Linked DNA regions of Macaca fascicularis. The protein of the gene in region 3 purifies or fractionates together with the protein of the main gene of each other region. This does not show direct contact. Links are inferred from orthologs where the notes say so. Each region holds a gene or a part of one and is shown on either strand. Other genes may lie near its edges.

The links.
Region 1: the proteins of TNS2 (region 3) and SNTB2 purify together in Homo sapiens (affinity purification with mass spectrometry; 4 studies listed by BioGRID and IntAct, with this or other methods). This does not show direct contact. The link is inferred for Macaca fascicularis from reciprocal best matches to the Homo sapiens genes TNS2 and SNTB2.
Region 2: the proteins of TNS2 (region 3) and DMD purify together in Homo sapiens (affinity purification with mass spectrometry; 3 studies listed by BioGRID and IntAct, with this or other methods). This does not show direct contact. The link is inferred for Macaca fascicularis from reciprocal best matches to the Homo sapiens genes TNS2 and DMD.

Annotation. Positions count from the first base shown.
Region 1 is NC_088394.1:65,293,380-65,297,481, forward strand, and holds the start of SNTB2 (beta-2-syntrophin), read left to right. Parts: upstream 1-1,245; 5' UTR 1,246-1,248; coding exon 1,249-1,819; intron 1,820-4,102. UniProt on the Homo sapiens protein: Adapter protein that binds to and probably organizes the subcellular localization of a variety of membrane proteins. May link various receptors to the actin cytoskeleton and the dystrophin glycoprotein complex.
Region 2 is NC_088395.1:33,307,138-33,311,347, forward strand, and holds the start of DMD (dystrophin), read right to left. Parts: upstream 2,811-4,210; 5' UTR 2,575-2,810; coding exon 2,544-2,574; intron 1-2,543. UniProt on the Homo sapiens protein: Anchors the extracellular matrix to the cytoskeleton via F-actin. Ligand for dystroglycan.
Region 3 is NC_088385.1:59,846,418-59,850,065, reverse strand, and holds part of TNS2 (tensin-2), read right to left. Parts: intron 2,762-3,648; coding exon 2,711-2,761; intron 2,380-2,710; coding exon 2,257-2,379; intron 2,169-2,256; coding exon 2,104-2,168; intron 948-2,103; coding exon 864-947; intron 394-863; coding exon 281-393; intron 190-280; coding exon 129-189; intron 1-128. UniProt on the Homo sapiens protein: Tyrosine-protein phosphatase which regulates cell motility, proliferation and muscle-response to insulin. Phosphatase activity is mediated by binding to phosphatidylinositol-3,4,5-triphosphate (PtdIns(3,4,5)P3) via the SH2 domain.

The DNA.
Region 1 (4,102 bases), on a different chromosome or scaffold from region 3:
TTCTTGTTGCCCAGGCTGGAGTACAGTGGCGCCATCTCAGCTCACTGCAACCTCCGCTCCTGGGTTCAAGCAATTCTCCTGCCTCAGCCTCCCGAGTAGCTGGGATTGTGCCACCATGCCCGGCTAATTTTTTGTATTTTTAGTAGAGATGGTGTTTCTCCATGTTGGTCAGGCTTGTCTCGAACTCATGACTTCATGACCTCAGGTGATCCACCCACCTCGGCCTCTCAAAGTGCTGGGATTAAAGGTTTGAGCCACCGCGCCCGGCCTTGAGCCACCGCGCCGGGCCCAGGTTTACACCACTGGTTCCCCTGCGTCTCAGGCCTTTGGGCTTGGATTGGAAGTGCACCACCAACTTTCCTGGGTCTCCAGTTTGCAGATGGCAGATCGTGGAACTTCTCAGCATCCATAATCTCGTGGCCAGTCCCTTATAATAATAATAATAATAATAAATTTATATATCTCTATATATCCTATTGATTGGTTTCTCTGAAGAACCATAAGACACCATCATTCTGCAAATATCCTTGAGGCCTGCCAATTGTGGCTTCAGAGTTTTAAGAAAACATGGTTCCCTCTTGAATTACAGGCAAGTAAACGAGATTACAAAACATTGACAAAGGCTTGGATCATACTGTTGGACCTTTGCTTGAGCTGTTCACCCTCCGTTGTCACCTCTGTGAAGCTGACCCCGGGCCTAACCAAATGTTCCTTTTATGCTGTTCTGGGGACGTTTTCTGCATGTCACTTAACCACATAGTATCACACCTAGTTGGTTGGTTCTGCATTTTCCTTCCCCACTAGACCGCAAACTCTCAGCTGTTGTTGGTACTACTAAGCTTATCTACAGGGCCTCAAAAGGAGCCGGAGTACAGGGCTAAGCGCTCAGTATACAGGGTACGAACCAATCAATGCAAGAATGAACGTGCCACCGGGTCTTGCAGGCTTGCAAAGTGCTACTCCAAGCTGATTTTACTTTCCGTGCCCGGGCAGCTCCCGTGAATTTCCGGGGGGAGCCGTGGGGAGCCAATGGAAGGAGAATGAGAAATGCAGTCCCACTGCACTCGGGCTGCCCACGTCCGGCGAGAGGCAAGGGATCAGACAACTTCTGCACCTCCCGGAAGCGGCTGCGCCGGCCCCGCCCCTCCGGAGGCAGGCGTGGCCTCATGAATAATGAATCACGCGGGGGAGGGGCCGGGCCCGCCCCTCCGGGCGGGAAGGGGGAAGCGCCGAGGCTGCCTGACTGGAATGAGGGTAGCTGCGGCGGCTGGAGCGGGGCCGGCCATGGCGGTGTGGACGCGGGCCACCAAAGCGGGGCTGGTGGAGCTGCTCCTGAGGGAGCGCTGGGTCCGAGTGGTGGCCGAGCTGAGCGGGGAGAGCCTGAGCCTGACGGGCGACGCCGCCGCGGCCGAGCTGGAGCCCGCTCTGGGACCCGCGGCAGCCGCCTTCAACGGCCTCCCGAACGGCGGCGGCGCGGGCGACTCGCTGCCCGGGAGCCCAAGCCGCGGCCTGGGGCCCCCAAGCCCGCCGGCGCCACTTCGGAGCCCCGCGGGTGAGGCGGGCGCGTCGCCTCCCGTGCGCCGGGTGCGGGTGGTGAAGCAGGAGGCGGGCGGCCTGGGCATCAGCATCAAGGGCGGCCGCGAGAACCGGATGCCGATCCTCATCTCCAAGATCTTCCCGGGGCTGGCCGCCGACCAGAGCCGGGCGCTGCGGCTGGGCGACGCCATCCTGTCGGTGAATGGCACCGACCTGCGCCAGGCCACCCACGACCAGGCCGTGCAGGCGTTGAAGCGCGCGGGCAAGGAGGTGCTGCTGGAGGGTGAGCGGGGCCGGCCGGGCGGGCGGGAGGGTGGGCGGGCCGCGGCGGCCTGGGCTCGCGGGAGCTCACTTTGTTCCTTGCCCCGCCGGCGGGGCGAGCCGGTTCTCTCCCCCTCTCTCCCCAAACCCGGGTTTCTGGAGCTTTCAGTGTGGAAAAACGGATGCTTCTTGCAGGAAAAGTTGGGCAGCCGCCGAAGTGTTACTTGCAGCCCCTAAGGAAGACTCGGCTGAGACTGAGTAAAAAGCAGCTGCCTATGAAGCCTCCTCTCGGCCCGATAAGCTGACACTAAGAACTTGAGGCAGAGCGAACGGCTCGAGTGGGTCTGTCTCCGTTTGCCCGCTGAGAAGTGCCGGGTTGGCGCTTAACTCACTCACCTCTGGCTCCTCGGGGCGGGTGGGTCTATTAAAAAAAAAAAAAAAAAAGTCCGTCCACACCGATGCCAGCTGTATGCTTGGGCAACCCACCAAAGAGCTGGTTAATTTATGGGAATTTAACCCATCATTGGCTCTCAACAATAACCAAAGGAGATCATAGCACTTCATTGAAGCCAGAAAGCTGAAACAGCAAGTCTGTGTGGTTAATGAACCTTGTTTAACAGTGGAGGCTCACGTGTTTGAACATTTACTGCCAACTAGAGTTTTGCCCCTTTTGCAAGTCTGCTGCCAGCTTCCTACCACTCACAGGCGCGCTATTAGGGTTTTTGTAAGAAACTTGAAATGGCAAATCACAAAATAGGTTTCAGTAACCAGGGTTATTCTTTACAGTAAGTTATATGTATGTGATCTGTAAGTTGGATCTTTCGTGATGAATTTGAACTAGGGCAAAAATAAAATTCCTCTCCTCTAAGAACTCATGCATGTTGGAGGTGATATTGTAAATTATAAACGAAGAGTCAGTTGCTTTCTTCATAAATTTTTGAGCGGTCAGCTTTCTTTCGCTGGTGATTATTGCTAGCTGTGTTGAAAAGAATATAAAAGAAGATGCTGTCCCTACTTGGTCTCTAGTTGGAGAAATGATAGAAAAATGCAAAACAACTTATAGGGAGGAAAGGAATGAAGTTGGCGATTACGTCGTGCAAACTATATTTAAATACCAAAGGAATGCAAAGTTAGAAAGTAGTGGAGATGGAATTAGCCAGGGAGGACTTTTTCCCGGAGCTAAATCTTGAGCCGGGTCTCCAAGGAAGTGATGGACATAGGCAGGCAGGGATGAGTCAGGAGGGTATTCCTGGCAGAGGAAGGACAGAAGGGAAGGGCTGGGGGCTGCTGGTGAAGAAGGACCAATCAAACCGAGGGGCCAGAAGTCCACCTTGGCACAATGGATTTTCACTTTCTTATAAATCAGCTTGTGAATATTTGGAAAAATACTGGTTTACCAGAAATGATTTCATGTACACCAGTTGTGAAATTCCAGTGTCCCACCTTTATAATGTCCTATTTATAAACCTTATTTATATTGCACGTCTAGGTGGGGCTAGACACTGCTCGGAAATTAGTGTTAATAGGAGTAAAATTAAGATTGTGGTTTGGGTGTGTGTATAAAAAAATTGTTACTCTAAACATGTACCTTGAAATTGGTCTAGCTAAGCATTTGGTTATAAATTCTTACATCCAGAATGCACTATTTATGTAGTCCTCACTTGTGGTGGGCAGACAATTGAACCTTTTACACCATGTTTAAAAAAAAAAAAAAAAAAAAAACCCCAACACTTTTTGGCCAGGCATGGTGGCTCATGCCTATAATCCCAGCACTTTGGGAGGCCAAGGTGGGTGGATCACCTGAGGTCAGGAGAACGTGGCGAAACCTCGTCTCTACTAAAAATACAAAAATTAGCCGGGTATGGTGGCAGATGCCTGTAATCCCAGTTACTAGGGAGGCTGAGGCAGGAGAATCGATTGAACCTCGGAGGTGGAGATTGCAGTGAGCCAAGATGGCACCACTGCACTCCAGCCTGGATGCCTAGCCTGGATGACAGAGCAAGACTCCGTCTCAAAAACAAACAACCCACTTTTTGTGTAGGTATAGTTTGAACCTAGTATTCAGACTAGTAAAATGAAAACCTTGTAGCAAATGCTTCCCAGTCTTTATTGGACTAAAATAGGCCATGTGTGCTTTTAGAAAGATGGCAGCATAATAACATGTTTATTGAATGCCTTTTTGCCTAACACACAGGTTCTACTTTATTTTCCCACTTTGTATAAGACAAGCAGTTTTTGTTCTTATAAGTTGTGAGGAAGTCAGTATAGTAGATTTATGACGTTGCATTTTGAAGCCACTGGGTGT
Region 2 (4,210 bases), on a different chromosome or scaffold from region 3:
TAAAGAATAAATTGATGAAAGAGTATGATAAATCATTTTTAATAAGTTAGGAAAATATTACAATAGAAAGTGGGAGGAGAAGGAAAGTTTGGGAAATCAGTTTGTTTTACTCTTGAGATAAAATTTTGATGAAAGATAATAAAATAGAATTTTGAAAAACACCTGATGTTTCCAAGGCAATGATTTTAATCTCTTTTATTAAACTACACAAGTGGTTAAAAACTTGACAATTTGTTTCATATATAGCAAATGACGTGGAGTACAGGGATTTCAAATGAATGCTATAGGAATAAAGAGGAAGCTGTATTAATATCTCTGCCCAAATGATGAATTTGCAATTCAGTACTGTCTAGCTAGAAGTGTCAACCAACACCTATTTCCCCTTAAATAATGTAATTATGCATAAAACACTTTGTAGTCTTTTTTAAAGTTTAGAATAACATCTATATGACATACTCTGTTGTATTTTTCATAATGTTATGCCATGTAAGATACACCAAAACTTTGTATTAACAGTATATCATCAATTTAGATCAGCGATCTCTTTTTCATAGTTAAGATGTCTTTAAAAGATTCTGCAAATGAAATTCTAAAAGATGATTTTGTTAGACCTCAAGATGACTTACATCATTTAAATATATTCAAATGAAATATCTATTTGCCATACACTATTTGAATAATTCTTTACAATGCATTATTTGAGTAATTCTAAAAGTAAACAATACAATGTGTTTGACAATACAGTGATCTCTTTTACAGAGTAACTATTCTGTTTAAAAAACAAAATGTACTTTTATAAGTTTTTCAAACTAAGGCGAATTTACAAACCAGATTCAAATGTCAGACATCCAAATAGTAGTATATTGTCAAGCAACAAAATTTAATGTATAATATAGCCCTGAGTATATCTCCATTTTCCTTAACAAACTCATTGTCATGTTGCATAGGCATTACTTGATGATTTTTTAAATGCAGTGTGAAAAAATCCTACAGGACATGTTCCAAAAAGATTACCTTCCTTCACATTCGAAGAACTGAAAGTTTTTCAACTATCTATGACAAAGCAGAGGATAGGTTTACCTTGCTTCATTCCAGCAGAATTGCATATATTCTTTCAAAATTGCTCTATATACTGGTATATGTGGTTAATTATATAGAATATATATATATATATAAAATCACTAGCGATTTTGATAGTATTTATATTACATATATCAAAGAAATAAAAATGATAAATAAAAATATGTGTATATGTGTATATTGCAAACAACAGATATATGCCATGCATATTTTTGTAATGATAGTAAATATAATAGTTTTTCAATCTAAAAGCAATAATGATACTCACCAAAAGAAATTTATGAAGCAAGCAAACAATGTAACTAAATGTTGTATTATAAAATCTGGTAGCTTTTAATGTGACTCAATACATGGACAATGTTAACTTATTTCCACAAATTTTTCACAGTGGTAAAACGTCTGCCTTTTTTTTTTTTTTTTTTAGTAGTTGTGGAGCATTACTTATTTGGAGAGACTTATTTTTTCATTCTTAATTATAGGCATCGCTCTCATATCTATTTTAGAATAACTATACTCCACAAGTCAAAGATAGGTGGGGAAGAGATAAACTCCCATCTTTTTGGGACACACAGTCCTTATCATATATTATTTTTACTGTTGTGCCACAGTCCATTTTTAAATCCTTCAATAGTCATCATGACTTTCTTAAAAATAAACAAAATAGTTGCATTTCTATATGGAAGACAAACTAAAAAATTGAACTGAAAAGCTAGCTCATGATAGACTTGAAACATCTACTAAATATAATTTACTACTAAACATAATTAGGAGTTCCTCAAGTTTGTATGTTGTTTTCCCAAGAGATCATCTGATCATTTGATAGCATAGATCACATCATTATTTGAAATAATCATCATGGTATGCTATAGAAAAGAGCATTTGAAATAGTAAATGTGAGAAAGCAACATTACAATTAAATCTTTATCAATACTTTTCACATCCTTCAATTTTCCATCCCAACTCATTTTATTCTTTATTTTCTCCATATGTCAGAGAAACTTCTCCTAACTTTTAGGCCTCCATGTAGTTCCTATACAGTAGTTAGTTCAATTGAGAATATATGTCAGGTCAGTAACCTTTATGTAACTGTTACTAAATACAGAAGTATCAACTAGTCAAAATAATAACTGAGATATACAAACTATCTCACAGCAATCAAAATAATCTGTTATAATCAAATGACATTCTGCATATTCTATTACTGCAGTGGCTTATTAATCAAGAAATCATGTGTTTAATTCTTCTGCAAAGAAAAACTTATAAACTCAATTTCTATTGAAAAGTTTTCCCAATGAAAAATATATATTCCTGAATAAATACATATATATATGCAGTATATATAACATTTATGCTTCTTTGCAAACTACTGTGATAATTTAAAATCAATCTACCTAATTAGTGAGTTTGTCACAAACTAAACATTATGCCACAGTAAAATACATTTTTAGTTACTTTGTACTTACAACAGTCCTCTACTTCTTCCCACCAAAGCATTTTGAAAAGTGTATATCAAGGCAGCGATTAAAAAAACCTGGTAAAGGTTCTTCAAACTTTATTGCTCCAGTAGGCTTAAAAACAATGAGAAACCAACAAACTTCAGCAGCTTTAAAAAAATAACACTTCAGTTTTTCCTATTCATTTTTCTCTGAAGGTAATTGCCTCTAAGATCTGAGTCCCGTAGGGGGAAAGTGAGTGATCCCAACACTGAGTGAGTCAACACAGTAACTGATGCCAGGATTCTGTAGAGGCCCCTGGATATTTCAAATTCCAGGACCTGCGCACAAGCAAGTGACCCGCCTTCTCTCTCAAGTTGGTTTCCCATAATAGGACTGTCCATGGTCACTACATATAAGGTTGTGCTTCCAGCATGGCAAGCTCTGTGAATTCAAATAATGCTCAACTGTGTTCTGATTAATATCCAAACCAGAATAGCACAGTGGACATAGTACTAGCTTTTAAAGCCTTCCAAACACAAAAACTATTCAGTACAAAACCATAACAATATTTTCTGTAACTTTCATGTGAATTTATAACAGAGCAGAAAATCCCGATTTAAAATTGACTTTTAAATGCCTTTTTTATCCTCTCAACAACACCAAAAATTTCACTCTACCAAATAAAAAGAAATGCCCAGAATAATCTATGCATTTGTTATGTATCCACTGCCTACCAAAGTTATTTTTTCCCCTTGAGATTTTTGATTGCAAAAGTCATGTATTGATGATGCCAACAGTCTGAATAAGAGAAGCAGCAGCAGAACACAGCAGCTGAATTCTGAAGGCAGAATGTGTGTGTAGGTCTCATGGGACATGTTTTCCTGCTAAAATAAAGAATATTCTTATAATGGAGCAAAGACATTTTTCTCAAATCCTAAATTTCAGTTGTGAATTATGATAAAACTTCTTTACTAACAAATTATTCTTTCTTCCATTTCTCTGCTGCCAATTCTTAAAACACCATTTTCTTAGACATTGAGTTAATGATCATTTAATGGTTCTGAATGCAGGCTCTTTTTTTTCTGTATTAAGTGAATGCAGTTGTATTATGTCATTCAGCATGTAAATCATTCTTTGCCAATAGAAGTCTTCTTCATCTTGTTCCTTATTACTTTTATGCAACAGGCGAGCCCCAAATTGATAGAAAACATTGGTAGCATTTTTTAAAGAAAGATATTCTTTTTATAGTTATAATAATCCCTACTAAAATTTTTGTTTGAGTGTTTTTATTGTACCATTTGTTAAAGTGACAGACTCATTTTTCTATGTCAAACATTCAACTGCTTGCGACTGAAATGAGTAATAGACAAAAATAAAAAAAAATTATAGAGTCAGACTGTGATGTTTACCTTAATAGTTAATTATACATTTTGCGTTTTAGAATATTATTGTCATAACATGGCTATTTTCCCCAGCAAAATGTGTATGAGATAAAACATAAGGCTTAATTTTAATTGAAAACATTCTTTTCCCTAGGTCACCTCCTTTCCTCTGTGTGGTTGTCTAAATATGCATATAAGCAAAATTTTCATAAAACAAAATGAAAAAAATGAAAACAATTGTTGTGGGGCTGATTTGGCTCTAAGTCTACATGTTAGCATCAGTGTCCCTCTATGCTATGAGGTACAATACTG
Region 3 (3,648 bases):
CAGGGGGAGCCAGGAGACCAGAGTCGGAGCCCTGCCCAGGTGTCTGGGGAGGCTGGAGAAGCAGGAATGCAGGGAGCAAGCGGGGCCCTGGCCATGAAGTGTCAGGGGCCTGGGAATAGAGCACTCACTAGACTCCAGACGTGTAGACGAGCTGCATGGACTGGTAGATTTTAAGGAAGGGCTGGAAGCCTGGAGGGGCAGAGGAGAAGGCGCGGAGGGGTGCTGAGTGGAGGGGCCTGAAGGTGGCTCTCCCTAGGGAGCACATCTCAGGCAGACTCACCTGTGCCAGGTTCAAAGGCTGGCAGCGTGGGGACGAGCACATAGTGCAGGAAGAGAGGGCTGCTGTTCATTCTGATGGAGCCGGACAGCAGCCCACTGAAGTAGCTGATGTATCTGGCAGAGGGCGTGTCGAGGAGAACATAAGCCTTTTCCTCTGGAGGTCACCTTGTATCATTTCAACCATCCACCCTTAGAAAGCTGGCTCTTCTCCTCAGCACTTCCTTCCCGTCTACCAGGTCACCAGAAAGTTCTTCCTTGCATCTAATCTCAATCCTTCTTGCTCCCCTCTGCCTCAAAGCTCTTTCCCCAGAGCTCTGCTTCACTTTATAGTGGCAGGCCCCGACTGTCCTTAAGGTTCTCTTTATGATGGACCTCCTCGTCTATTTATTCCCAGGTCTACTGCCTTCCATCCTACTAGCATGAAAGCTCCATGAGAGCAGGGGCTTTGTCCACTTTGAATTCTCAGCACCTGGCACAGCCCCTGGCACACTCAGTGAAGGTGTGCTGCATGGATACGAGAGTCTTGGCCTTGGTAGCCATGAAGGGAGCTGCTCCTCTGGCCCATCCCCACCCAGGCTGCTCACCGACGCTGGGAGGGCTGCAGTTCTGTGGCCACCTTGTCCTCGCAGAATTTCCGCATGGTAAGAGTAGCCAGTGCCTGGTCAGCCCTGGGGACAGCAAGGCCAGTGTTGAGGATTAGGGACTAGTCTTCATCCTGGCCTCCCATCCCTGAGCCCCAGGGGAGGGAGGAGAGATATGATCCCCTGAGTCTAGAGGAAGCCCAGAGTGGTGGTAATGAGAATGAGAAGCACCATGTACAGTCACTTTACTAGTTTTTGGGCCCCAGGCAATTATTCCCTGAACTTTAGTTTTTTCATCTGTAAAACGGGGCAACAAAACCATCTCATGAGTTGAATTATATCCCCCCGAAAGACATGTACCTCAGAATGTGACCTTATTTGGAAATAGGGCCATTGCAGACATAATTAGTTAAGATGAGCTCATACTGAAGGAGGGTGGACCCTGAATCCAATATGATTGGTGTCCTTATAAGAAGAGAGGAAGAGACACAGACAGAGATGCACAGGGAGAACATCATGTGATGACAGAGGCAGAGATTACAGTGATGTGTTTGCAAACCGAGGAACGCCAAGGCTTGCTGGCCACCACCAGAAGGTAGAATGAGACAAGGAAGGATGCCATCTCAAGTCTCAGAGGAAGCAAGGGCCTGCCGACAGCTTGATTTGGGGCTTCTGGCCTCCAGAACTGTGAGACAGTATATTTCCACCGGTTTTTGTTTTGTTTTGTTTTGTTTTTGAGATGGAGTCTCGCTGTTGCCCAGGTTGGAGTCCAGTGGCACCATGTGGTCTCACTGCAACCTCCGCCTCCCGCGTTCAAACGATTCTCCTCCCTCAGCCTCCTGAGTAGCTGGGATTACAGGCACCCACCACCACACCCTGCTAATTTTTATATTTTTAGTAGAGACAGGGTTTCATCATGTTGGCCAGGCTGGTCTCAAACTCCTGACCTCAGGTGATCCGCCCACCTCGGCCTTCCAAAGTGCTGGGATTACAGGTGTGAGCCACGGCACCTGGCCCATTTCCACTGTTTTACACCACCCTGTTTGTGGCTGCCCTAGGAAACTTTACAGACCATCTGCTGCAGACTGTGTTGCTGTACTAGTGATAAAAGGGAGGTGGAAATGCTAACTTGACAGCAAAGGACTCTCAATGAAGAGGTGGGCTCCAGGGGAGATGGTTCCTAAGGGGCCAGCTGGAGAAAGGGCCACTGGGGAAGGGGCTACTCCGGTGCTGGGAGCCTCACCCTGCAGAGATCTTGCTGTAGTGCATGTAGGCAGAAACGATGACCCCGAGCTTGCCCTTGCTTCCCTGAGAGACAGAGACAGGGATGAGGGTCTGGGGGCTCCAGGCTGACCTGGAGCCTCCAGGCACCAGGGAACCCGAGGTCCTGGCCCACCTTGCAGTATAGTACGACCACGTGCTGTGGGTCAGCACTGAGCCATGTCTCCATGGCTTTGCAGATGGAGCACAGCTTGTCCAGGGGTGGAGCATGCAGCTCAGGCCAGCCGAAGTCCTGAACCTGGGGAGAGTGCAGGGGTGCAACTGGGGCTGGGGCCCACCAACAGAGAGACACAGGCGGTGTGGAAAGGGGACAGGGCATACGGGTCTGGGGGCAAGGCTGGGGATCTGCTGGTTCTCCATGATAACCTCAGCACTTTCCTTATCTATACAATGGGCTGATACCTGCTGCATCACGTTTTGGGGTGTCTCCAGTAATATGTCATGCGAGAGGGGGAAGGTGCTTAAGAGTGAAGTAGATGCCAATCGCTACTATTAATAACGAGGAAGCTGGGGGCTTCTGGGGTAGGGGTGGCTTGGTTTAATGACTGGGCAAGCCATTTCCTTCATACCTTGGGGTTTAAGCGGGTCAGGTCATGCCTTTTCTCTGAAAGGTTGAAGAGCTGAAATAAAGGGGGAGGGCTTTAGACAGAAGGGACCTCCGGCAATGAGGCACGAGGTGGAGGTGGATCCTAAGTTAAGAATCTTCCTCTAGGCCGGGCGCGGTGGCTCACGCCTGTAATCCCTGCACTTTGGGAGGCCGAGGCGGGCGGATCACGAGGTCAGGAGATCGAGACCATCCTGGCTAACACGGTGAAACCCCGTCTCTACTAAAATACAAAAAATTAGCCGGGCGCAGTGGCGGGTGCCTGCAGTCCCAGCTACTCGGGAGGCTGAGGCAGGAGAATGGCGCAAACCCGGGAGGTGGAGCTTGCAGTGAGCCGAGATCGCGCCACTGCACTCCAGCCTGGGCAACAGAGTGCAGACTCTGCCTCAAAACAACACCAAAAAAAAAAAAAAAAAAAAAAAAAAAAAGAAAAAAAAAGAATCTTCCTCTAAAACAAAGTGCAGGCCTGGCGCAGTGGCTCACGCCTGTAACCCCAGCACTTTGGAAGACCGAGGCGGGCGGATCACCTCCTGGGCAACAAAGAGAGACCCGTCACCAAAAAAAAAAAAAAAAGTAAAGAAAGAAAGAAAATAAGAAGGTAGTTAAGGCCCGGCCTAGCCAGTCACAGCCAAGTCGCCAGCGCTCCTGGATACTCCGCTCCGCTCCAGGCGCCACTGCGGGCCCCGCCCCCGCCCCACCCTCGCCCCCACCCCACCCCCGCCCCCGCCCCCACCCCACCCCCGCCCCCACCCCACCCCCGCCCCCGCCCCCGCCCCCACCCCACCCCACCCCCACTCCTCTGGTCCCGCCCACTGGCGGCCTCGCCTCCACTGGTGACGTCAGTGATTAGCCTCGCCCATCTGGACCCCACGCCCCTCTCATTGGCTGACTCCTGATGGCCCC